Linked DNA regions of Saccharomyces cerevisiae S288C. The protein of the gene in region 1 interacts with the protein of each later gene in a biochemical or structural test. Each region holds a gene or a part of one and is shown in the gene's direction. Other genes may lie near its edges. The genes, in order: GON7 and PRK1.

Region 1 (15,850 bases):
CAGAAGTCAACATCAAGTTATGGACTTGAGAAATAAATCTCAACTTGAGAGGTTTACATGACTTTACCAGGGACCTCCCGCCAAATATAACCACATAATACATGGCAATAAAAAGCAGTACCGGACGAGGTTCACTCAAAGGCTGCTTCCCAACGGTAAACTCAAAATCCTTTGGCTGGAAGCGACCTGCAGTGGCCCACCCAACCGCACGATTGAAATAGTCCCACAAATAAATATTAAAAAAAGGCCTATCTATTGTTGGGCGAAACCTAGAGGCTTTCTCGAGGCAAAAATTTTTCCAATCACTTACCATACTTGCTTGCAAATTTAGCTCTCAAGTTCCTTAAAATTGATAAGGTATCCTACCTTAATATTCATATCAGTTAGTCTTATATACTTCTACCTCTTTTTCTGGCTTCCTTTCTTTCCCTTATGTCCTTCGGTTTACTAATCCGTAAAGCCGACGCGGGTAAGCCAAGACCCTGAGTTTAGAACTAATATTTCGTCACGTCACGTAAGTGCAAGGTAATAAAAGCAGCAGAAATATCTGTAGTTTCAACAAAATATGTCTGGCTTGCGATTTGTTGTGTTTTGAAACTAGTTGCTAGTCTGCATTCCTTTGTTTTCCCTGAATTACCCAAAGAAGAAAGCGACGCGAGGCCTCACGCGTCGGAGTTTCCAGATCAGGAAATTACCCACTTAGGAAATTGAGTTGGCTGGCAGAAAAGATATAACGCCATCTTGAAAAATAGTATTAGTTAGTCTATTTTTTCATTTATATAGTAGAGGTATATTCTCTGGAAGAACAATTTTGGAATATTCAGAACACTGCGCTGCACTATTTTCATCAATAGTACCATATACGTTCATGTCAGCTATACCAATAACTCCAACTAAGCGTATCAGAAGAAATCTATTTGACGATGCTCCAGCAACGCCTCCACGACCTTTGAAAAGAAAAAAGTTGCAGTTCACAGATGTTACACCAGAATCATCCCCAGAAAAACTGCAGTTTGGCTCACAGTCTATTTTTTTGAGGACAAAGGCACTTTTGCAGAAGTCATCTGAGCTAGTCAACTTGAATAGCAGCGATGGTGCATTGCCAGCAAGAACAGCAGAGTACGAACAAGTTATGAATTTTTTGGCGAAGGCAATTTCTGAACACAGGTCCGATTCACTGTACATCACGGGTCCGCCTGGCACTGGCAAGACTGCCCAGCTTGATATGATTATAAGACAGAAGTTCCAGTCCCTCCCATTGTCGCTCTCCACGCCACGCTCGAAGGACGTGCTGAGACATACGAATCCGAACTTGCAGAATTTGTCCTGGTTTGAATTGCCCGATGGAAGGCTAGAATCCGTGGCGGTAACCAGTATTAATTGTATATCGTTGGGAGAGCCGTCCTCCATTTTCCAGAAGATTTTCGATTCCTTCCAAGATCTGAATGGCCCAACATTGCAAATAAAAAACATGCAGCATCTACAGAAGTTCTTAGAGCCTTATCATAAGAAAACTACGTTTGTGGTTGTGTTGGACGAGATGGACAGGCTATTGCATGCTAACACGAGCGAGACACAATCAGTTAGAACTATTCTTGAATTATTCCTTTTGGCGAAATTGCCTACTGTGAGTTTTGTGTTAATCGGTATGGCTAATAGTCTAGATATGAAAGATAGGTTTCTTTCCAGGTTAAATTTGGACAGAGGGTTGTTACCGCAAACTATAGTTTTTCAGCCATACACTGCTGAGCAAATGTATGAAATCGTCATTCAAAAAATGAGTAGTCTGCCCACTATTATCTTCCAACCGATGGCCATCAAATTCGCAGCAAAGAAGTGTGCTGGAAATACGGGTGACCTTCGAAAACTTTTTGATGTCTTAAGGGGAAGTATCGAAATCTATGAGTTAGAAAAGCGGTTTCTGCTTTCACCAACAAGAGGATCATTGAACTCTGCGCAAGTTCCTTTGACGCCAACTACTTCTCCGGTAAAGAAATCGTATCCAGAACCACAAGGTAAAATAGGCTTGAACTACATAGCCAAGGTCTTCTCAAAATTCGTGAACAATAATTCTACGAGAACGAGGATAGCCAAACTAAACATCCAGCAAAAATTAATTCTTTGCACCATAATTCAATCACTGAAGCTAAATTCCGATGCTACAATCGACGAATCGTTTGATCATTATATCAAAGCGATAACAAAAACTGATACTTTAGCACCATTGCAGAGAAATGAATTTTTGGAAATCTGTACAATTTTAGAAACTTGTGGGCTGGTTTCAATCAAAAAGACAAAGTGTAAAGGGAAAACCAAGAGATTTGTTGATAAGATTGATGTTGATCTCGACATGCGAGAATTTTATGATGAGATGACCAAAATTTCAATTTTGAAACCTTTCCTTCACTAGTCAGCTAATAGATTTATTTTTTCTTTTTTTTTTACAGTTCCACTTGCATCCCTCATTTTTCACATTCCTTTTTTTATAGAAAAGCATATCACTATATAAAAATTCTATTATAGTTGTAACAGCATAGCATATTATAGACTTTTTTTTTCTGGAAACGGTTAAACCGTTTGGCTGAGATGCAATGATATACGCAACATTGCATTCAAAGAAATTGCAAAAAAGACACAATAAAACGTAATTTGTACAAATATTTTACTATCATTAGCTACTGGATGCAGAATGGATGATTGTTAGGGGGAGGTGGGGTACAATTGTTTGTTTTTGATACATTTTCTCTTTCAAATCGCAACCAATTCACTCTGCTAATGTGATAACAATGGCGCCTGTCGGAAAGGTGAAAAAAAAAAAATGCAAACAAATAAATTGGCACGGTGTGACATATGCCTTCTATAATAATGAAGGAACTCGAAGAAAAAGGGGAAAACGATGTTTCAACAGCTGTCGGCATCCATTAGGCACAATGCACACATAATTTTTTTATGCATAAGTTGGTATTTTATTTCATCGTTGGCATCTCAGGTAACGAAGCAGGTACTAACGGTTTGCCCATTACCACTTTTTTTGGGTGAGTTTCAGTTCATTTATACTGCTGTGCTAGCATGGTTTACGTGTTATATTGCATATAGTTTCCCAGGATTCTATCGCATATTTCCTAATGGTACTTTTCCGGAATATTATATCGACGACAGAGAAACTAGCCGTGCAGCTAGGAAAGAATCAAAACTATCCTCCCTCATTATACCGCCCTCTAAACCAATCCTGCAAACAGTTCTACCTTTAGGTCTTTTCCAATTTGTAGGGAAATATTTTGGGCATACAGCTACCTCTTTGGTGCCTGTTTCCACGGTTGCAAGTATAAAAACGCTATCCCCCATGTTTATCCTTTTGCTCCAAAAGATTTTGAAAATATCCACTTTGAAAATTACTTTAACTCTTATCTTTAGTTTATGCACTTTAGTTCTTGGAGTTTGGATTATAGTTCAAGAAGATAATCGTTCACCGGCCTCTTCCAATGAGCTGAGAGAATTCTCTAAATACGGCGTAATATGCGCTATGATATCAATGTTCATTTTTGTCTTGCAAAATATATATGGCAAGACCGTGTTCACGTACAGATCTCAAACAGATGAATCTCAAAGTAATTCTGGATTCTCACGGCAAGAATCACCTTTACCCTTATATGAAAAGTTGGATGAGAAACTTGTTGCGAAAAAGAAACCTAAATCATATGACAAATTGACTTTAATGATTTATATTTCCCTTGTTGGATTTTGTTTATCGTTTGGCTGGTTTATCACTCTAGAATTTCCTGTACTATTTAGGTATTTTTTTCAAATTAACAGCTCTTCTACAGTAATAAAAGCTTTTCCAGTCTCTTTATTTTTACTGAACGGGACATTCCACTTCATTCAGGCAATGATTACATTTCATTTACTGGGTGAGGTCTCAACTTTAACATATTCAATAGCGAATCTGATGAAGCGCTTTGCCATTATTGCGGTTAGTTGGGTCTTTATTGGAAGAAGAATTACTTGGCTGCAAGTGTTCGGTTTGGTTCTGAACACATTAGGGTTATTCCTTTATGAAAGATGCACATCACAATCGAAAATAAAAGCGAAAATACGTCCTGAGTAGTTTAACATGATAGAATATAAATGCAAATAATATTTATTCCCTTTAGGAAATACGGGTGTTTTGAATTTACTTATCTGTACCATACATAAAATTTACATATAATAATAGAATCTTTATCAACACATAATAGTCACTCTACTTTGAGGCAACGGCAGCATACTTTTCTCTTTGTTTTCTTTTTGCCTCCTCTCTGATGGCTCGAGCTGTTTCGGGGTCCAACTTTTCTACTATGATTGGGAAAACGACAAGGGCAATTAAGGTAATAACGCCCGCCAGTTTCCAACGTGAGTTCAAAATATTACCCACAATACCTGTAGAAAAGATACTGACGTTTCTAGCCTGTAAATAAGATCTAATCGGGGCCTTATGTAAAAGCTCCACTGTAATATAAGGGTGCACCTTCATAGATTGTAATTTTTCTGGGTACGTTATATCTTTGGATGGGAAATATTCTCTTCCAAAAAAGTTCTTGAACGCGTTCAATTGTAAGGTGCCATTCTCTAAATTCTTGAATTCAATAAGAATTCTGTTTGGCTTCAGATTGAAGTCCATAGATGCTGGGTACATCACATAGTATGTCGTTTCATTAACACCGTCGTTTAAAGGGAGATTAGCGAATTCAAAGTTGCCTTCGTCATCTTGAAACATGGTCGTAGATGTGTAAGGATATTCTGTCGAAAAATTGCCGATCTGATAAAGTTTGAAACTTGTTCTAGTTGAAACAAAGCCGGTGATGTTACTTGCTGCTAAGTCTAAGCGACCCTTAATGGTCCCTCTCCTGGCCGTAGCACTGGCGACATAAATAAATGCACTGAGTAAAAGAACAATCTGTGAAAACATCGTCACACTGCTCTTTCACTTGTTGATCAAATTTACTTTGATGATATTTAATGGCTTGACAAATTCGTTCATCTTAATTTCATACATAATTTCATCCTGAAATCCTCGATCATTTTCGAGACTGTTTTTCGAGCTTGATTTTATATGTGGTGTAAACACATCATTGTACATCCTTGCACCACACTGAAAAGAATATGGAAAAAATTTCAAACTTTTTAATGGGTGATAGACTTGAAAAACAAAACGGAATAAAAGATATAGTCGCAAGAACTTGCCTTCTACGAGTATAAAAGCGGTACTATTCCTTCTGTATGCATCTTCATCGCAAGAGAGAAAAAGACTGAAATCAACAACTCCCAATAACAATTAAGAATGGCTAACGGTACGTGAAAGGGGTGATATCCTGTTTAAAACCATTTAGTTATTCTTTTTTTCAGATGGAGACTGTGATCGGGTAGCGCATGATGTTATTATTGGAATTTTATTTTTTTTGCAACTTTGAAGCACTCCTAACTATATTGCAATAGTGTTATGAGATGCTACTTATGTTTGTAAGGCCATGAAATTCTGTAATACGGAGTTAAAATTTCTGCAATAAAGCACTTCAATGCTATTGTGTTATAGAGGCTCTGCGCTCACCCTTAATACTGTATCATCTGTAATAAAGAATGTTTATCTTAAAAGGATTGTAACTAAATGGTTGTTAGATAGTGACTCATTCGTTTATTTTTTAATAATCGAAAAAGCAGAAGTTCTGTTTACTAACAACTATACCTCTTATCATGTATAGACCTTGTTCAAGCTCGCGATAACTCTCAAGTCTTTGGTGTTGCCAGAATCTACGCCTCCTTTAACGATACCTTTGTACATGTTACCGATTTATCTGGTAAGGAAACTATCGCCAGAGTTACTGGTGGTATGAAAGTCAAGGCCGACAGAGACGAATCATCTCCATACGCTGCTATGTTGGCTGCCCAAGATGTTGCCGCTAAGTGTAAGGAAGTCGGTATCACTGCCGTTCACGTTAAGATCAGAGCTACTGGTGGTACCAGAACCAAGACCCCAGGACCAGGTGGTCAAGCCGCTTTGAGAGCTTTGGCCAGATCTGGTTTGAGGATTGGCCGTATCGAAGACGTTACTCCAGTCCCATCAGACTCCACCAGAAAGAAGGGTGGTAGAAGAGGTAGAAGATTATGATTTCTTTTTTTTTTACTCTATTAACGCATGGAAATACGGCTTTACCTTCTCACATAAATATAGTTTGTTTAATTAATAAAGCCAATATAAACATTTGCATATTCGACTTCGTGCATGCAGAAATGCGGCAGATAAATTCATTTCTGTCTAATCTTTTGAACAGTTTTAAAGTACAAATATATTAGTATTTAACAGGAAAACTAAAAAAATGTATAATAAGAAATGAGTAAAGTTATGAGGCTATCTTGTGTTTATTATAGTATATAAAGCTACCGAAAAGGTTGTTGTAACAAGTAGCTTAGTAAACGAAACCCAAAATCTTACCAGAAACGTGCTTTCTTCTGGCTTCTTCATGGTCCATGATACCAGCAGAGGTGGTCAAGATGACGTAACCGAATTGTCTGGCTGGCAACAAGTTGGCAGTCCATTTTTCAATGTCACCAATCTTAACGTTGAATCTTGGGGAAATAACACCACACTTGTTCAATCTACCGTTCAATTGAACAACAATCTTACCAGATCTGTGGTCATCGATGTATTCAAATTCACCAATGTAACCGTGCTTTTGCATAACTTGCAAAAACTTGATAATGACCTTGGAGGATGGTCTGATTAAAACTTGACGCTTACCGGTCTTTTCAGCGTTGTTAATGGCATTCAAAGCATCAGCTAAAACGGAAGATCTGGTCATCTTGGATATGTATGTTGGTCTTGTTTTATAAAAAATACTAGAACTGAAAGGCCATTAAAAAACCTTACAATTTAAGAATTGAATAGTCGATTAAGATTATTTAGATTGAAATTGACTAACTGCAAACCCATATTCAAGAATTATTTCACATCTTCCAGCGAGTAAACATGCCGCTGGTAATCGCGCGTCCTCAATATTTGAGTTTTTCAAATAGTGAGGTGTGGATGTATAGAGGAATTACACACTTTTAAGTATGTGATGTATGGGCGCACAGTACCAATTTAACTTTTTTTTTTTTTCATTTTTTAGCTTGATTTTCAAAAAACTTATGGGCGTTTTAGGCTCCGGCTCAAACTACCACCACCACGCGGCAGGCCGAGGCAAACAGTACGCCTTGGCGGGGACGCCGAAGCGACTCCTTCTGTTCCAAGCTCAATGGTCCTTGCGTTTACGCTCGCGCGTGGGCTAACTAACGCAATTCGGCTTTTGGGCTGTCGAGAACCGAGAATTATTCTTCGCCTTGATAGATACTTTAAAACTTCTACTTAATATACTTTCTACAATTTTTGGTACATTCATATTATACTGAAAATTCGAAAAAGACAAGCAAATAAACACAGATAGATCAACATGGCTGTATGTTAGAAAGATATTATAAATCCCAGTTAGATGCTGAACTGATCAATAGCAAATTATAAACCACATCCATCTAAATGACCTTACCACCTACAATTTGGATTTGAAATAGAAGCAATGTGTAAAATATAGGGAAAGGATTAGGAGTGTTAACCATACTAAAATTTTTCTTATCCGAAACAGAAATCTAAAGTCGCCACTACGCAGATTAAAATATGGTCATAAACTGCTTATTCTGAGAACTTTTGGTGGTCCAGCGTGGTTTATGTCAGGTGGTATTGCCTTGGATCCGTGAATGCATCACATTGATGAGTTTGAACATTGTTACTAACATTTTTTACAATTGTACACTTCGTATGTGCACGATATGTTTCCCTTTTAATTAGGCTCAAAAGTCTTTCAGAATCAAGCAAAAAATGGCTAAGGCTAAGAAGCAAAACAGACCATTGCCACAATGGATCAGATTGAGAACCAACAACACTATCCGTTACAACGCTAAGAGAAGAAACTGGAGAAGAACCAAGATGAACATCTAAGCGAAGAACATATTTATGCTTCAAACTTTTTGTCATTTGTCTTCCATCCTTCCCTTATTCTCAATATATATGTAATACGTCGTATTTGATATATATATATATATATATATAATATAATTTAACGGTTGTTATCTGCTACATCTGTAAAATAAAAATAAAAATGCTTGAAGCGGCTGTACTTAAAATAAACTCATCTAAGGTTTTACATGGTATTACTACCGGACTGCAATTACACTCTTTTTCGTTATTGGATTATTTATACAATGCGGCCCATAAGCACGTGTGGGAAAAAAGTATGTAAATAAAACAAGGTTTTTTGTTCCATTTATCATATAAAAAATTTTGGCTTAGGTCCAAAGTCGTCTTCCTGGATAATAGCACCTGCATTGCGTGTCATTTCTACATACAGGCATTCCTCAGTTTGTAAGATTTGATTTGCCGTGGGCCTTCTCTCATAATTGGGCTCTATCATCCATCGTACTATTCTCTCAAGTGATTCACCATCAATAAGAAATTTCGGTACCCATGCGGGAATTTTAGAACTTTTATGCAAAATAAGACGATTCTTGGTAGCGGCAGTATTGACATTATTATTATCGTTGCCATTATTCATATTAGGGTTGTTGATATTACTATTGTTATGAACAGTGGAGGTGCCAGCGTTGTTACTATTACCACTGATATTGTCTCTTTCAAAATCAAATAAATCATTTGTATCTACTTTCGTAATGTCTGAAAATAATGATTCAGAATGAATATCTGTGGAACTTAATCTTCCTGCATCCGATAAATCACCCGATCTCAACTTATGCCATGCGTTGCCATTGTCAGGTAACACAACGTTCGCTGCAATTTCAACAATCATCAGACCCAGGGAAAAAATATCTGCCTTGTAATCGTACGTACAATCAGAAATGATTTCTGGTGCAATATATTCTCTGTCACCTTCATTTTCAAAACTTTTATCCTCCAACGGTAAATGAGTAGCCATTCCAAAGTCACCTAGTTTTAGGTTACCTTCAAATGTGATCATGACGTTTGCGGGTTTCAAGTCCAGATGCACAATGTGACAAGAATCATGGATGAATCGTAAAGCCAGGCTTAATTCCACGATGATTTTCCAAATTCTCCAATCTTCCAACCTTTTTTTCTTTGCGATAACTTGCTCTTGTAAAAATCCATCCAAATTACCATTTTCGCACAATTCTGTCATAATATAGTATGAATTTTGAAACTTCCAGGAACTGATGTAATCGATGATGTATTCCTTCCCTTCTTGATCCATTGTAATTTGGTTTGTTACCTCGTTTAGTATTTTAATTTCCAGTAATATGCGTTTCAAGGAATTATATTTGTTTGGTTTAATGGCTTTGATTGCATACTTTTTGTTTGTTTGGGCAAACGTAACCTGGTAGACCGTGGAAAACTGGCCTTTACCAATGGAATGCACATTCGTAAATTTTTCGAAAAGATGGGAATCTGGATTTGCTGATAACTTATTTGAAGAGATTAGACGCCTTTTGGAATTTAACGGCGAAGAATCGGTGGAAGATATGGAATGCGTCTCTGCACTTGTTGTGTTTGTCACGATGGCAGAGGAGAGTGACAATGGTCTGCTTTCTCTATGTGTTTGAGATGTTGCCCCAATAATAGATTTTCGTCTTGTTGGAGTGGAGATCTCTTCGTCAGTGTCATTGTCATAGCGTCCACGAAATTGATAAGGTTGAGGGTTCTTTCTAGTTGAATGATGACTTGATATTATGATTGGAGGTGGGAAATTCTCGTCCGTGCCGTATAAATCATCTTTGAATTGTTGTAAACTGTTTGTTAGCTCTCTATTTTTCAAAATAACCGAATTCCTTGCTCTTTTGATTTTTTTGAACTTGTTAGAATGCAATGTTTGTGGAGAGCTGTTGGTAACCAAGCTATTAGTGGGAGACAGGATGTTTGTCTGGTTATTGTGACGATCATGTGCATGATATTTTGCCTCGCTCAGTGGGGATGAGTCTATGGTTGGTACATGGATGGAAGGTAAAGCTTTCGAAGACGGAGAATCTGAAAATAAAAGGTCTTCTTGTAAATTATTGTCTTCAACAAAATTTAAAGGGGAAACACTTAGAGAAGACGATGCATTTTTCGAACTCGAAAGGTGGACATGCTTATGGTCTCTTCCCTCCACTAAGGGTGATTTTTTCACTGGTGTTTCTGGTATCCTCAATTTCGCAGGGTATAACGAAGTGTCCATAGACATTTTAGATACGAGGCCCGAAGACGTAAAGGCTGATTGGTTAGGTTTAGCGACGCTATATGAAGAGGATGAGGATGTATTTTCAGTGCGAGCATCATTTTTCGGAAACCATCGCTGGTTCCATTGTTTGAGAGAAATAGGACTGTTCGTTTTTTCCGCAGATCTTTTTGTAATAGGAGTAGTAACACTTTCATTTTCATGGAACGGAGACCACCTTTTAATACGAGAATCCACGCTTTCCTCATCCTTGCCTTCTTCCTCCTCTTCTTCCTCTTCTTCAATTTTCCCAAGAAATTTGGAGTTAGCCTCTGACAAAGCTGTATTACTTAATGACAGGTTCAAGGTCCCCGTACTTCTTGTCAATTTGTTGTTCGAATATGGATAAAATTTCAGTTTATTGGTCGGGGTGCTACCCCCTATAGCAAAATCATCACTCTCGTCTTCGCCGGCCTGTTTGCCAAACATCTTCTTCCCCATAAACTGGAGGTTCTCCGTGTCCAGCATTTCGAAGTCCTCTTCATCCTCGTCCAAAGAACTCATCTGTTCTCGTGTGCGCCTGTGTGTGTTTACTTTTCCCCAGCACTACGCAATCAAAAATAGTAAGACCTGTTCAGTAGTAATCCTTTTTTTATTGGACTAACTGCGCAAGATGATGTGCAGGATAGTTAACACACGCATACATACAAAAAAGAGCCTCTTGGACAACCTTTACTTAATACACAGGGGCACGCCAATGTTCAACTGTGTTGTTGATTTCTTATCCAGCATTCTTTTACTTCTCTGCATTTTTTTCGCGTCGCGTCGCAAATTGTGATGGTTAAAAGAAAAATGAAAAAATATTTTTCGCGTCGTTATCACCCGGAGGAATAAAAAAAAGAAACATACACATCACGTGACCACAAGAATGTTAGAAAGGCTTACCAGTACTAGAGACGTTAATAAATTGCGAATAGCCCCCTATCTCCCACATGTTGGCATCTGTGAGGTGGAACCTATTTAAAGGTGCCACATTTCTTTCCTTAGAGGACGATGGTTGCAAGATCAGCACAAATCCATAGTTTGATGCATGGAAAGCGAAGCACTCTAACAGAAGTAAGATAATAAACAATCTCACGATTCTACTGATTTAAGTGCAACTAGCTCTTGGGCTTCTTTTGGTTGCCAAGTCGGAATAGACGACAGATGCATGTTTCGGTGCAGAGTTCAGAGAGATAAGTGCCTTCTTTTATCTTTTTCCCCGTTCTTGCGGATTTTTTTTTTCACTTTCTCATCGGCGGGGAAAAAAAAGTGTAACAACTAAAGGATCAACACGGCTTTAAAGTGTTTTATATATACGCAGATATGAAAAAAGCATTTTCACGGTTATTGGAAATTTTTATTTTACGACTGGTTCCTAGCACAACAAGAGGATATACTAATAGTTCAGGTTACAATGCTGATTAGGTTAAAGAAGAGAAAAATCCTGCAGGTCATCGTGAGCGCAGTAGTGCTAATTTTATTTTTTTGTTCTGTGCATAATGATGTGTCTTCTAGTTGGTTATACGGTAAAAAGCTTAGATTGCCGGTTCTAACAAGGTCGAACCTTAAAAACAATTTTTACACAACACTGGTACAAGCCATCGTGGAAAACAAGCCGGCAGATTCGTCTCCGGACTTGAGTAAGTTGCATGGGGCGGAAGGGTGTAGCTTTGCAAATAACGTTGCTGCACACGACTCTGGACACGATAGTGACTTAAGTTACGAGAGCTTGAGTAAATGCTATAATTTGAATAAAACAGTACAAGAAAGCCTACGAGAAGTGCACAGTAAGTTTACAGACACCTTATCAGGGAAACTGAATTTTTCCATCCCACAAAGAGAGGCACTTTTCTCAGGTTCTGAGGGCATTGTCACCATTGGAGGTGGAAAGTATTCTGTGCTCGCGTATACGATGATCAAAAAGTTGAGGGACACGGGTACTACATTGCCTATTGAAGTCATCATTCCGCCTCAGGACGAAGGCGAGGATGATTTTTGTAAGAACTGGTTGCCGAAATTCAATGGTAAGTGCATTTATTTCTCAGATATCGTTCCTTCAAAGCCATTAAGCGATTTAAAACTCACGCACTTCCAGTTGAAAGTCTTTGGGTTGATAATTTCCAGTTTCAAGCGTATTATCTTCTTGGACGCAGATAACTATGCGGTGAAAAACCTTGACCTTGCTTTTAACACTACATCCTTCAACGATACTGGCCTGATATTGTGGCCCGATTTTTGGAGACGTGTCACCCCTCCCGCCTTTTACAACATTATAGGATCTAGCATTAACATCGGCAAAAGAGTCCGTTTTGTTAGTGACGATATTTCCCCCGTGTCACGTTATGATCCATTTGTTAGTAACTCAAACGATTACACTCCAAAGGAGAGACAGGAGCATTTCCTGAAACATGTTCCCTTACATGATCTGGACGGCACGATGCCAGACTTGAGCTCTGAATCAGGCCAGATGGTGATTGATAAGATTCGCCATTTCAACACTCTATTACTGGCGCTATACTATAATGTTTATGGGCCTACCTGGTATTATAAGATGATTTCTCAAGGCACTGCCGGTGAAGGTGACAAAGACACTTTCGTCGCTGCTGCCCATGCCTTGAATATGCCATACTATCAAGTGAGGACTAACTTTGAATTTGATGGTTTCTTCTATCAAAAAGATGATTACAAGGGTCTCGCCTTGCTCCAGCATGATTTTGAACAAGATTACAAGCAATACCAAAAGGCGCAGCAGAAAGTTAAAGCCAACATTGAGGAATTTTCCAAACTGGATCCAGATTATACTTTGGACAATGGTTTCTTGAAAACTTTGATGGTTAATGATGACGGTTCTGATTTGGATATCATGTTCATTCATGCCAGTTTCTACAAGGCAGATCCATGGACTCTTTATCATGAAAACAGATTTATCGGTCCAAATGGCGAACAAGTACGGGGCTTCAGGAAGCCGCATCGCTATGGAATGGATTTTGAATTGTTTTTATTCAATGATATGAGGGGGTCCTTCTGTACCACTCCGAAAAGCCAAGTTATTAAATTCAAGTATTTTACCGATAAAGTTAATACCCCAGAATGGGATGCAATGTGTGAGTATTTGACCAATCATGTTAATTATCTGGAGAGCACACACAAAGAAGCTATGGGGGAGAAAAACTAATGAAGTGATTAACTATAATAATTTAATAATAACTCGCCATCCGACCTTGTATAATATAATGTAGCATATATGTGCACGGATATATATACATCTTAGAAAAAAATGAAAAAATGAAACCAAGAAAAAACTAACTGATGGTGTTCGGACAACGTTTTAGAATGAGGGTATCTAACTTTCTTCTACCATTCTCTGTCCAAAAACCTAGAAAGTAAAGTCCAGCCAAACCAAGATGTGTTTTCCAACGACGAAGACGCTGCGCTTGGTGAACGGTTTAATGTTTCTCCAGTGCTCTCATCTGTAAATCGTGACCGCGATGACGAATCTATATCTACGTCTGACAACCTGTCGAATTCAAGAGGCATCGAGTAGTAATTGAAAATAAAGTCACGCTGGGGGAAAAAAGATGGTATATCGTCAAATATTCTTTCATGATGGTATGTCAATAATTGCCGGCGAGTTTTCTCGCGGTAGCATGTTCTTAGAATTGGATACAAGTCTCTTGATAGTTTCTGCACAGCAATTCTTTGGGCATTTGTAAGTTTCTTTAATTTCGCAGAGGTATAAAGTTCTCTTTCCTTAAAGGAATAAACGGGAAATCCATGATTGACACCGTCGCTTGATTGAGGGACATTTTGATGCAGCTCATTAAATAAATGGCTGCCCAAACACCACTCATCGATCCGGTCAGAGTTACTAGACGATCGAATGTTACGAAGAGCGGGCGCCGGCTGCTCTGAGGGCGGAGAATTTTTATTGCTGTCACTGGATATCGACAGTATAGCAATTTCGTCAGAAGGAACTTCGAAGGCACTACTTGCAGATTCCAGTGTCTCATCGCGACTAATGGCAGTATTTGTACATTCTGGAGATAAATCTGGGTTATTGATAACCCTTACATCATTGAATGACTTTAATCTATGGAAGTCTAGCTCAAATTCCTCTTCTGAGAGTTCCAGGACTTCAAATAGCGATTCTTCATCGTGAATGCCGTTATTAATTCTGGGTTGAATGCGAGCAGACCTTGACCCGCAATCAACCTGGTAATTGTTCACAGATGCCATTAATGAGCTGTACTGACCACCAAATTTTAGTATTTTAAGCCCTGAATACAACCTTTGCTCCTTGTCGACATTCGTAAGTATATAGAAATCTATCCCTTCAAAAGATTTGTATTATTCGGGATTACGCTACAGCCGCACGTAGATCGTACGTGTATAACGATGTTTATCTTGGTGAAAGTATCTTAACGCGAATGCTCTAGTGATGGCACAATAGAATAGTGTCTTAGCACCACAGAGCGTGATTTTTTAAAGCTCTATATTAGCAACTACGATAGGTGTTTATTTAGTTTCTTTGTTGATCTTCCTGTTTCCAGTGTTACGGCCTTGTCAGGTCAAAAATTTTACCCGGATCTCTAGTAATGAGTAACTTAAGAATATCCCATCTGATTATTGGTAGTTTTACTGAACCAAGTTAGAGCTAAATAAATATATACAGCCGATAGTGCACTGGAACCTTATCCTAATATCTCAATGAAACTACCGGTAGCACAGTACAGTGCACCAGATGGTGTGGAAAAAAGTTTTGCACCAATACGCGATGACCCTCGATACATGACCACAGAGGGAAGGACAACTGGGCCCAGTGACCATGTGCTAAACGCTGGCCAAATCGATAGAGACAAACCTTCAGAACCGGAACGCACGAAAGATGGCTCACAACTGACATACTTAGGCCAGCTGCGCACGCAGCTGACGGGGCTACAGGACGATATTAACGAGTTTTTGACAGGAAGAATGGAATTGGCAAAAAATAAGAAGAAAGCCGGCGCAGACGAGAAGCGGATCCAGGAAGAGATTAACCAGCTATTAGATGGTGGTGACGGTGACGAAGATGCTGTTTAGGCAACGATATGTAGCGCTAGAGAGTGTATATACAAACAGAAAAGAGTCTAATGATAAATGACAAATATTTCGTTACAAGTGATAATTGTTGAACTAGGAAGAGTTGATATAAAAAAATAATAAACACACGATGGGATACAGTTAAGAAGGATTGATCGACTCCTAAATGATGCGAAGAAAGCCAATTTTCAACTTGGAATCATCCTGCCGGTTTGTTGTTGGTGTTAGCTGTGTTAGGACTCGTTAAAATGGCAATCAAACCAAGAACGAAGGGCAAAACGTACTCCTCAAGATCGGTGGGTTCGCAGTGGTTCAACAGGCTTGGTTTCAAGCAGAACAAGTACGGAACTTGTAAATTTTTGTCGATAATAACGGCCTTTGTTTTTATCCTCTATTTCTTCTCCAATCGCTTCTATCCAATTTCTCGTTCCGCCGGTGCATCATATTCTCCATCCCATGGGCTGTATATTAACGAAATTCCTGCCTCCAGCCGGTTGATT
Region 2 (12,117 bases), on another chromosome or scaffold:
AATTCAGGATATGCGCAAGCCACCTACAGATTATAGAAGCAGTCGAGTACGAATCACTGTGACCGTCATCCTAGATAAATAGTATAGCTTGATGAAGAGTACTGAACCAACAAGTACGAGCTTCTATGGCCAAGTTGGTAAGGCGCCACACTAGTAATGTGGAGATCATCGGTTCAAATCCGATTGGAAGCAATTTTTTTCTTCGGCACGTCATACACCTTGTAATGAGTGTACTAATTCTCTCTTCAAAAAGATCATTGTATGTTTTATGTTTTGTCTGGAAAAACATATAGTACGGATATTTTTGAAAAACTTTGAAATAATATGTAAATTATGTAAAAAAATTAAAGAACCATTATAAAAGAATATTACCAAAAATGTAACAGATGACATTTTTATTGTTTTGAGTTTGTTTTAAATTTGAAATTGTTCAGTGAATTGTTCGCCCTTGGCGAAAAAGAGGTGTCCATATTGGTATTTGTATTATGAGCTGGTCGTTGGTTTTGTTGCTTATAAACTTCGCTAGCATATTTCAAAAAATGATAGTGATCATCACCATAAGGTTGAGGGAAAGTGGGAGGAGCAGGCGCGATTGGTGAAGAGGGGACGTTGTAGTGTCTTGGAGACTGGTACTGAGAAGGAACTGGGTGAATGTGGTCGTAAGTATAGTTTAGCTGCCGCTGTGGCGACGAGAGCTGGTTTGGTGGGGGTAAAGAGTATCTTTGCTGTGGTATATAGATATTTCCCGGATATGAATACCGGTGACCGTGGGTGTTGTAGAAGGATGCTAGGTTTGACAAAATTTGCACCGTTGGATCTCTTGGCCCTATTGGAGAAGAAGTTTGAGAGGTGTATGTGGACGACTTTTGCCTTTTGCTGTTTTTTTTAATGAAGTTCTTGTCATTTGAGGAAAGGCCCAAGTTTTCTACAAATGAGTCGAATGAGGGCAAGGCGTCCTCAATAACAAGTTTCTGCGCTTTGGAATGGGACATGGAAGTAGATCTTTGTCTTGGCCTGGGTCTGGGCTTCTGCCTAGGTCTTGCCACTGCAGTAGACGTAAAATTGGTACTTGTATTAGCAGCAGCAGTAGCAGCAGTAGCAGCACCTGCACCAGTGGTAGAACTAGCAAATGTAACGTTTTGATGAGCCAAATACCACGATTCGCAATCTTTGGGGAAATCTGGACCAAAAATAGGCACCAGAAAGTATCTGATCGGAAAACAAAACCGCAGGCATAGCAACCTTGAGATTTCCATCGGCAACCAAGTACCCTGAATTTTGATGTAACCACCTCTTATTCTTTTCGTAAAATTTGCCGGATTTAAGTTGGGCAAGTCTATTTGGTCAGGACCAAGTTCATTGATCAGGAAGTCTTTGTAAGACTGGCAAATAAGGTCCCGCAGTTCGGGCTTGATGTTGTTCCAATGAAAATCGATGTAATTGTTTGCCTGCGTTGAAGAAGTAGATGAAGAAGACGCATTGGCGTCCAAGAAGGTAGACCCTGTGGATGTCCGTCTCTTTGGCGGCGAAGAGGTGGAGGACGACAACAGTACGCTTGAAGATTCCTCAGAAGTGAACGAACTGTGATTGTAAAAGCAAAAAGATAGAATTTTCTCGAATTCAGCCTTGCAAAAGAACTGCTGTTGGCTAGTGGAAACGCTGTCACCTCTGGGCAAGTTTATAAGCCCCTTCATAACATCCTGATACAGCCGCCAGATGCCCGTCATGAACACATAGCCGGAGTCATGCGACCATATTACGCAGTTGTTAGGGTTGATGAGCTTGTCATTGATCAGATTATGGTCCATTTTGGTCAACTTGAACTGCTGATTCTTTGTCAGCGAGGAGGTGGCATTTTCACGCGATGCTGTTGACAGAGCCTTCTTTTCTTGCTTGGTGGGTGATGCTGAGACTGGTGTTTTGTTAGACCGGGAAGGTAGTATGATCTTACCCATCAGAATATTTTTATCGTGCAGATGCAAGGCGGAGTGAGGAGTGGCGGAGCTAGCGAGCTGCGATAGCAACGTTTGTTCGTGGACTAGGCTCTGAATTGTTTGTAGGTTGGGAAACTGGTACTCGAAGCAGTTCAGAACGTTCTGCGCCGCCGCCTCTTCCCCGTTCCCTGCGTCCCGAGCACTGATAATGAAGTTTGGATGTGTGAACTGCGCAGCAATGGAGGATTTATAGTTAACCTTTCTAATATTGAGTCCGGCGCTGAAACTGGCCGGCGGCGAGTCCCTATCCAGTACGCTGACGAGGTAGAGACGCTGATAGTCGTCCAGGGGGTTGTCCGTTAAGTGTACCGTGTCACTGTTAATGCTAAAAGCGGGATATTTCATGTTGGAGAAGGTGTCTATGATAAGGTATTTTGAGCTTGCCGTTGTGTGGGGAGAAGAACTGGATGCGTACCGAGAACGAGCAAGTTAAAACACTAGTACACGAATAATAGATATATATATGTATGTATATATATGTTGAAGTGTGTACACACGTACACGCACAAGCTACAGACGCCACGCGGCCCGGCATTCATATATGTACATACATTTATGCACATATATATATATATATATATGTATATGTAAATGTATATATACAGCTTGTGATTTCGCGCGCCGAATGGGCTGAAAAGCACAGTATAGTGGAGAAGAAGAGAGAGGAGAAGGGGAGAGGGGCAATAGCAATGGATGTGGTAGAATACAGGGAAGGCCAAGCTGTTGTTCAATGGATGCGGTTCGAGGCCCAGCGCAAGGGGGGCGCTTCGAAGCATAGAACATTATCCGCGGAAACGGGTATTAGGGGTGAGGGTGAATAAGGAAAGTCAGGGAAATCGGGCCAGAGTAACACCCATTCATAGCACTCGTACAAGGTGCTTTTAACTTGCCTGCATGTGTGGAGTCACAAATTAGGGGACTCAGGCACAGAAGCAAGGGTCCTTTTTTGGTTCCCTGTTTCCTCCTGCGCATTTCGTATTTTTTCTCATCTCTTGGCTCTGGATCCGTTATCTGTTCTGTTACACAAGAAATCGTACATTTACAATATAGTGATAATCGTGGACTAGAGCAAGATTTCAAATAAGTAACAGCAGCAAAATGGCAAGACAAAAGATGTTTTATAACAAATTACTCGGCATGCTCAGCGTAGGATTCGGGTTTGCTTGGGCGCTCGAGAACATTACTATATACGAATTTGACTTTGGCAAGGGCATTCTCGATCAAAGCTACGGCGGTGTATTTTCAAACAACGGCCCTTCGCAAGTGCAGCTGCGGGATGCAGTCTTGATGAATGGGACAGTGGTATACGATTCAAACGGCGCTTGGGACAGTAGTGCGCTGGAGGAATGGCTCCAGGGACAGAAAAAAGTTTCCATCGAAAAAATATTTGAAAATATTGGGCCCAGCGCCGTGTATCCGTCTATTTCGCCTGGGGTCGTGATTGCGTCACCATCGCAAACGCATCCAGACTACTTCTACCAATGGATAAGGGACAGCGCGTTGACGATAAACAGTATTGTCTCTCATTCTGCGGGCCCGGCAATAGAGACGTTATTGCAGTACCTGAACGTTTCATTCCACTTGCAAAGAAGCAACAACACATTGGGCGCTGGCATTGGTTACACTAACGATACAGTGGCTTTGGGAGACCCTAAGTGGAACGTCGACAACACGGCTTTCACGGAAGATTGGGGTCGTCCTCAAAACGATGGGCCTGCTCTTCGAAGCATTGCCATCTTAAAAATCATCGACTACATCAAGCAATCTGGCACTGATCTGGGGGCCAAGTACCCATTCCAGTCCACCGCAGATATCTTTGATGATATTGTACGTTGGGACCTGAGGTTCATTATTGACCACTGGAATTCTTCCGGATTTGATCTATGGGAGGAAGTCAATGGCATGCATTTCTTTACTTTACTGGTACAACTGTCTGCAGTGGACAAGTCGCTGTCGTATTTTAACGCCTCAGAACGGTCGTCTCCCTTTGTTGAAGAATTGCGTCAGACACGCCGGGACATCTCCAAGTTTTTAGTGGACCCTGCGAATGGGTTTATCAACGGCAAGTACAATTATATTGTTGGGACACCCATGATTGCCGACACATTGAGATCCGGACTGGACATATCCACTTTATTAGCTGCGAACACCGTCCACGATGCGCCATCTGCTTCCCATCTTCCGTTCGATATCAATGACCCTGCCGTCCTGAACACGTTGCACCATTTGATGTTGCACATGCGTTCGATATACCCCATCAACGATAGCTCCAAAAATGCAACGGGTATTGCCCTGGGCCGGTATCCTGAGGACGTATATGATGGATATGGCTTTGGCGAGGGAAATCCCTGGGTCCTGGCCACGTGTACCGCTTCAACAACGCTTTATCAGCTCATTTACAGACACATCTCTGAGCAGCATGACTTGGTTGTCCCAATGAACAACGATTGTTCGAACGCATTTTGGAGCGAGCTGGTATTCTCCAACCTCACGACTTTGGGAAATGACGAAGGCTATTTGATTTTGGAGTTCAATACACCTGCCTTCAATCAAACCATACAAAAAATCTTCCAACTAGCTGATTCATTCTTGGTCAAGCTGAAAGCTCACGTGGGAACAGACGGGGAACTAAGTGAACAATTTAACAAATACACAGGGTTTATGCAGGGTGCCCAACACCTTACCTGGTCCTATACTTCATTCTGGGATGCCTATCAAATAAGACAAGAAGTTTTACAGAGTTTGTAGACAAAAAAAAAAATAAAAGGAAAGCGAGAAGTATACACAAGTGTATTTCCTAGATATTTACATCAAATATATATATATACTTATTTACAAAACTCTGATATTATAAATTGATTAGATACTATGTCGGAACGTCCAGCCCAACCACGTTTGCAGTTCTTTTCACTTTCTCATCCTGTGTCAACTTGTTGCCAGGATTGTATCTGTCGACCAGCTCCTCGTATTCTCTTTGGTTGTCCAAGAACTTGATGATGTCCAAAGCGTGTTCGAATATCTCGTCAACGTTTTGTCCCTGGGCCACCTTTTTCTCCCACTTTATATCGTTTTGTAATATGGAACGTAATGACTTAGAGTCGGCTATAAACAAATTCAAAGATCTGTCGCTTACCGGATCTAGTTTTTTCCATTTCTCTAACTGTCTGTTGATGTTCTCATGCGAGTCTCTCTGATTTTGTTTCTTAGCATATTCCAACTTTGTTATCATTGCCTTTCGTAGATTGCCCCAATTGACTATCTTGCTTGGCCTTTCATATTTCAGAATGGCTCTTATGAGTCCTCTATATGTGCGTAATGTTCTTGGTCTATCCATTTCCCTGGCACTCTCTCTTTCTCTCTCTTTTCAGCTTTTTGTTATCCACTTATCGCTGCAAATGAAACTCTAGTGCAATTTGAGATATTCACTTTTTGCAAAGGCGAAGAGAAGGGGGTGGTTAAATCTACAATTTCATACATAAAACAGAGAAAATGATTATAAATTATAGGAAAGTAGGTAAGCCATGGCAGAGAAATCAATATTTAATGAGCCTGATGTGGATTTCCATTTGAAATTAAATCAACAATTATTTCATATTCCTTATGAACTACTGTCCAAACGTATCAAGCATACTCAAGCGGTAATTAATAAGGAAACCAAATCACTACATGAACACACGGCCGCATTAAATCAAATATTTGAACATAATGACGTTGAGCACGACGAGTTGGCACTAGCAAAAATAACTGAAATGATTAGGAAAGTTGACCATATAGAAAGATTTTTAAATACGCAAATCAAGTCCTACTGTCAGATTTTGAACAGAATTAAAAAAAGGCTGGAGTTTTTCCACGAACTGAAGGACATCAAGTCACAAAATTCAGGAACATCGCACAATGGAAATAATGAGGGTACCAGGACTAAATTGATACAGTGGTATCAGAGTTATACAAACATTTTAATTGGTGATTATCTGACGAGGAATAACCCGATTAAATACAACTCGGAGACAAAGGATCATTGGAACTCTGGCGTAGTGTTTTTGAAACAGAGCCAACTGGATGATCTCATTGATTATGATGTCCTCTTGGAGGCTAATAGAATTTCGACTTCGTTACTACATGAGCGTAATCTCTTACCCCTAATTTCATGGATAAACGAGAACAAAAAGACACTGACCAAAAAGTCCTCTATATTAGAGTTTCAAGCAAGATTGCAAGAATATATTGAACTACTAAAGGTGGATAACTATACCGACGCTATAGTATGTTTTCAAAGATTCCTTTTACCATTCGTTAAGAGCAACTTCACCGATTTAAAATTAGCATCTGGACTTCTGATTTTTATCAAATACTGTAATGATCAAAAGCCAACTTCTTCTACCAGCTCTGGATTCGATACTGAAGAGATTAAGTCTCAAAGTTTACCAATGAAGAAAGATCGAATATTTCAACATTTTTTTCACAAATCTTTACCTAGAATTACCTCCAAACCTGCGGTGAATACAACAGACTATGACAAGAGTTCCTTAATAAATTTACAAAGTGGAGATTTCGAAAGATATCTGAATTTATTAGATGATCAAAGATGGTCGGTATTAAATGATTTATTCTTGAGCGACTTTTATTCCATGTATGGCATATCACAAAATGACCCTTTATTGATATACCTGTCACTAGGTATATCGTCTTTGAAGACAAGAGATTGCCTGCACCCTTCTGACGATGAAAATGGAAATCAAGAGACGGAAACTGCCACAACAGCAGAGAAAGAAGTTGAAGATTTACAACTCTTTACGCTACATTCACTAAAAAGGAAAAATTGTCCCGTTTGCAGTGAGACTTTCAAACCAATAACACAGGCATTACCATTTGCTCATCACATTCAGTCTCAATTATTTGAAAATCCAATACTATTACCAAATGGAAATGTTTACGACAGTAAAAAATTGAAGAAATTGGCCAAAACATTGAAAAAGCAAAACTTAATTTCTTTAAATCCAGGTCAAATTATGGATCCAGTTGACATGAAAATATTTTGCGAATCAGATTCTATCAAAATGTACCCAACCTGAAATAGTTTCAAGCTATATGCATTTTTTTATATAAAGATTTGTCCAACTTTCACAACTATTTTACAGATACTTACGCTATATAAGAATTAGGGAAAATGAAAGTTCTTTCATCAACATGGCGACATTCTTCCTTCTGTACTTAGTCTGAATCAGAATCTGTGTCTTTTTTGCTTTTACGGTTATGTTTTGAACTATTCGAGACATATTTACTAAAGATGTAGAACCTAGCATCACGTTCTTTCGCAGGTTTTGTAGTATCTTGTTCGCTATTCGTTCTCCGGTGATGATATCCTGGAAAATTTTCCCATTGGAATTTGCTCGATCTGCTCAGAGTTAGTCCATTTTTTTTGGCTAAAAGTTTGATTTGCCATGAATCATAGGGCTCTCCATCGAAAAGGGACAGTATGATGTTACCATAACCTTCGGCGGTCAATTTTTTAGCCTGGGGAGTATCCTCATTAAGATCATAGCCTTGCGTATAACGAAGAGTATCATTTTGAATTTTCGTGTTTATAAGATTAAATAATTGTAAGGAATTTTGGAAAAAGTTAAAAATTAAGTCCTGATGCTCTCTAATATTTCTTTCTTGATCCTTAATACCTTTTCCATTATGGGGAAAATTGAAAACTATATTTTGTAAAGGTTTGTTACCCCAACGATGATCGCTAAGCCTGTTGATTATTTTAAACCAAGTATTATTTTTGGAAATTTTAAAGCTCTTTACGAGCTTCGTAACGTCAATCTGGAAAAATATCGGAATATTTAGATCTTTTAAGTACTGGTAATTTTCCTCAAAAGTATGCGGATATTTCAATTTCAGCTCATTCACAGAATTATCGTAACTTGTTATGATTAAATTGTCACTTTCAATATAGTTTTGTTCAACAATGGATCTGGCAAAAGAAAAATCTCCTTCACCACATAGCATCAAAGTTTCATCCTTCTCAAAGGGCATAACCTTCCCTTGATTAAGTTTTTGGAATTCTTGGTTTCTCTTCACGGTTTTGTTATTAGCGCTCGAATTTTTCTTTCTTAGTTCATGTTTTTGCTTACTTTCAATATTCCTCACTAATTTCACTTTGGCCTTGTGCCTTAATAATGCACCTTTTAGGCCTTTACTCCCAATCTTACCCTTCAATTTCCTGGCCATTGATAATTTTAGGTTATGATTGGTGTTAATCTATGATTTTAACGTTACTAAACGTTGTCAGGCTCCAATGAATTTAAGTAATGGAAGGTTTTCTTTTAAGCTCATCGCATCGCCAATTCTTTTCTTTTTTTTTTTTTTTTTCCGAATAATTTACATTCTTTCTACAGGAGAAAAATATGGGAGCCAGCTTGAAATACTAAAATCATTAATAATACTGATGTACATGATCCAATAACAAGATCAACTACGACTTTTGTTATTACTGATTCAGAAGGAAAAAAAAATTGACTTCCAAGAAGTCATAAAAATAAGTGGTCTCTAGCGGGATCGAACCGCTGATCCCCGCGTTATTAGCACGGTGCCTTAACCAACTGGGCCAAGAGACCAGGAATTTGTTGAAGTATTTCATGTAAATTTAATATTAGTACTGATAGAGATTTCCGATATATATGATCGCTCTCAATTATTTTATATCAAGTAAATGTCAATGTCGTTAGTTTGCACTAGCTGTTACTATTTATTCTTAGTAAAGGTTTTTAAAAAAAACTGTAATTATAACCAGGCAGGCGTATGCAGAGCGAAGGTCTTGGAAAAAGAAAAATATAGAACAGTACATTTAGGAAACGCTAAAAAAGTCACCAAGCAGGCAGGTCACAGGCTCCACTTGAACATAAGTTAGTTCGCTAATACAGGTTGAATTTCCATTGTGGGATAGTTTATTATCTTCAGCGAAAAAAATCTTTTTTGATTGAAGTGTTGATCAAGATTATTTGTAACCTCCTATCTTTAGTTGAACTGATCCAAAAACAATGAATACTCCACAGATTAGTCTGTATGAACCCGGGACAATATTAACTGTGGGATCTCATCATGCTAAGATTATCAAATACCTTACGAGTGGTGGATTCGCACAAGTATATACTGCCGAAATTTCCCCTCCTGACCCATATAGCAATGCTAACATAGCATGCTTGAAAAGAGTCATTGTCCCCCATAAACAGGGTTTAAATACCTTGAGAGCTGAAGTGGATGCTATGAAACTCCTTAGAAATAATAAGCATGTTGTTTCTTACATAGATTCACATGCTGCAAGGTCTGTAAATGGTATAGCATATGAGGTGTTTGTGTTAATGGAATTTTGTGAACGTGGAGGTCTTATAGATTTTATGAACACCAGATTACAAAATAGATTACAAGAATCTGAAATATTAGAAATTATGAGTCAAACCGTCCAAGGTATAACTGCAATGCACGCTCTGCAGCCGCCATTGATTCATAGAGATATTAAGATTGAGAATGTACTTATTTCTCATGATGGCTTGTATAAAGTTTGTGATTTTGGTTCCGTTTCCGGTGTGATAAGGCCACCTAGAAATACTCAAGAGTTTAATTATGTTCAACACGACATCCTAACAAATACTACAGCTCAGTATAGATCACCTGAAATGATTGACCTGTACAGAGGGTTACCTATCGACGAAAAATCTGATATTTGGGCTCTTGGTGTCTTTCTTTACAAAATATGTTACTATACTACGCCGTTTGAAAAAAGTGGTGAAGCCGGTATACTACATGCAAGGTATCAATATCCATCCTTTCCGCAGTATAGTGACAGGTTGAAAAATTTGATACGTCTTATGTTAATGGAAGCACCATCTCAGAGGCCAAATATTTGTCAAGTTTTAGAGGAGGTTTCCAGGTTACAGAATAAGCCTTGCCCGATTAGAAATTTTTACTTGTTAAGAGCAATGAATCAGAATGCGAATACCCAATTGGCCGGTGAACCGTCTTCGACAACTTATGTTCCAACACAGAAATTTATTCCCGTACAAAGCCTTCAGAGCATCAACCAGCCACCAAATATGATGCCTGTAACTCACGTCAGTACTACTCCTAATTTGGGTACTTTCCCTATATCTATTAATGATAATAACAAGACAGAAGTAACGGCGCATGCTGGCTTACAGGTTGGAAGCCATTCAAATTTGACTAGTCCCTTAATGAAAACAAAATCCGTTCCACTTTCTGATGAATTTGCATCACTATATTATAAAGAGCTACACCCTTTTCAAAAGTCTCAGACTTTCAAATCAGTAGAAAGTTTCCAATCCCCACAAAGGAAGTCTATGCCTCCATTATCGCTTACTCCTGTTAATAATGACATTTTTGATAGAGTTTCGGCAATAAATCGTCCAAATAACTACGTTGATTCTGAGACGCAAACTATAGATAACATGGCTGTGCCAAACTTAAAACTATCTCCCACCATTACAAGCAAATCACTAAGCTCCACAAAAGAAATTGCTGCTCCAGATAATATAAATGGAAGCAAGATTGTGCGTTCACTAAGCTCTAAGTTAAAAAAGGTTATTACTGGTGAATCTCGCGGCAATTCTCCGATTAAATCAAGGCAAAATACTGGTGATAGTATCAGATCAGCATTTGGTAAGCTTCGTCATGGGTTTACAGGAAACTCAGTGAACAATAGCAGGTCTGCTTCCTTTGATAATAACAATGTCAACGGCAATGGTAACAATACAAACAGGCGATTAGTTTCGTCTTCAACCTCCTCCTTTCCTAAATTTAATTCTGATACCAAAAGAAAAGAGGAATCAGACAAGAATCAGAGACTGGAAAAACGTCGCAGTATGCCTCCTTCAATTTTATCAGATTTTGACCAGCATGAGAGGAATAACTCGAGAACTGGATCAAGGGACTATTACAGGTCTCATTCTCCAGTGAAGAAAACTCAAGCATCAGCTAAAACGACATCAAAGCCTACTTTGATACCAGATAATGGCAACGTTAATATAAATCAAGAAAAGAAGGAATCAATTCAAAGAAGAGTGCATAACTTACTAAAGAGTTCTGATGATCCGGTAACGTATAAATCCGCATCCGGGTATGGTAAATATACAGATATTGGTACAGAAACTTCCAATCGACATTCAAGTGTAAGAATAACACCAATCACAGAAGAAAAGTTTAAGAAAACCCTTAAGGATGGTGTTTTGGACATCAAAACGAAAAGCAACGGTAAAGATAAATCAAGACCACCACGTCCACCACCAAAACCACTACATTTAAGGACAGAAATTCAGAAGATAAGAAACTTTAGTCGTTTACAATCAAAGAAACTGCCGATTGAAAGAATTTCCAGCGAAGCCACAGAAACTATTGTTGATGTTAACGTAGATGATTTAGAAGCCGATTTTAGAAAAAGGTTTCCCAGCAAAGTTTAAAACTTGCTCTCACACATAATAGACTATGTAATATTAAAAGTCATACAAAATGTACAAATTTTCTTTCGTCAATCATTTGAAATTTTTTGAAATATATCTTGTCACTCATTCATTTATTTATTCGTTTCTATTTTCCTATTATATGCTCTATAATCTCGACAAAACGTCGTCAACGACTTGTTGAGTAGAAGCCTTACCACCTAAATCTGGTGTCTTGATAGAACCCTCTCTTAAGTTAGCATCAACAGCCTTGTAGATATCTTGGGCAGCTTCGTTGTGGCCCAAGAATTCCAACATCAAAGCAGTAGATCTTATAGTGGCGATTGGGTTAGCAATACCTTTACCAGCAATATCTGGTGCAGAACCATGGCATGGTTCACCAATGACAATTTCTGGACCTACGTTGGCGCTTGGAACAACACCTAATGAACCGACTAAAGCAGCAGCACCGTCAGATAATATATCCCCGTATAGGTTTGGTGCCACTATCACATCAAAACATTGTGGTTCTCTGAACAGCCTATAAACCATGGAATCCACAATTTGTTCGTTATATTTGATTTGACCGTACTTGTCCTTGTTAGATTCGTAGACTTCCTTACAGATTTCTCTGAATAGACCATCACTTTGAGATAGAACATTTGATTTATGAGTCACTG

Evidence for each region.
Region 2: of the proteins of GON7 (region 1) and PRK1, one has a biochemical effect on the other in vitro, tested with the Saccharomyces cerevisiae proteins (one study listed by BioGRID).

The regions. Positions count from the first base shown.
Region 1 is NC_001142.9:68,470-84,319, forward strand, and holds GON7 (chromatin DNA-binding EKC/KEOPS complex subunit GON7), read left to right. Parts: upstream 1-14,978; coding exon 14,979-15,350; downstream 15,351-15,850. Other genes in the region: fatty acid elongase ELO1, read right to left, coding at 1-313; AAA family ATPase CDC6, read left to right, coding at 869-2,410; YJL193W (uncharacterized protein), read left to right, coding at 2,897-4,105; SOP4 (Sop4p), read right to left, coding at 4,241-4,945; 40S ribosomal protein uS11 RPS14B, read left to right, coding at 5,318-5,327, 5,736-6,142; 40S ribosomal protein uS8 RPS22A, read right to left, coding at 6,441-6,833; 60S ribosomal protein eL39 RPL39, read left to right, coding at 7,464-7,469, 7,856-8,005; tyrosine protein kinase SWE1, read right to left, coding at 8,334-10,793; alpha-1,2-mannosyltransferase MNN5, read left to right, coding at 11,686-13,446; ATG36 (Atg36p), read right to left, coding at 13,626-14,507; and 1 more. UniProt on the Saccharomyces cerevisiae protein: Component of the EKC/KEOPS complex that is required for the formation of a threonylcarbamoyl group on adenosine at position 37 (t(6)A37) in tRNAs that read codons beginning with adenine.
Region 2 is NC_001141.2:174,912-187,028, forward strand, and holds PRK1 (serine/threonine protein kinase PRK1), read left to right. Parts: upstream 1-9,025; coding exon 9,026-11,458; downstream 11,459-12,117. Other genes in the region: XBP1 (Xbp1p), read right to left, coding at 396-2,339; SGA1 (glucan 1,4-alpha-glucosidase), read left to right, coding at 3,093-4,742; FMC1 (Fmc1p), read right to left, coding at 4,861-5,328; glucose-induced degradation complex subunit FYV10, read left to right, coding at 5,516-7,066; BMT5 (25S rRNA (uracil2634-N3)-methyltransferase), read right to left, coding at 7,206-8,216; LYS12 (homoisocitrate dehydrogenase), read right to left, coding at 11,606-12,117. UniProt on the Saccharomyces cerevisiae protein: Protein kinase involved in the regulation of actin cytoskeleton organization and endocytosis. Phosphorylates PAN1 which disrupts the interaction between PAN1 and END3, and between PAN1 and SLA1. Phosphorylates SCD5.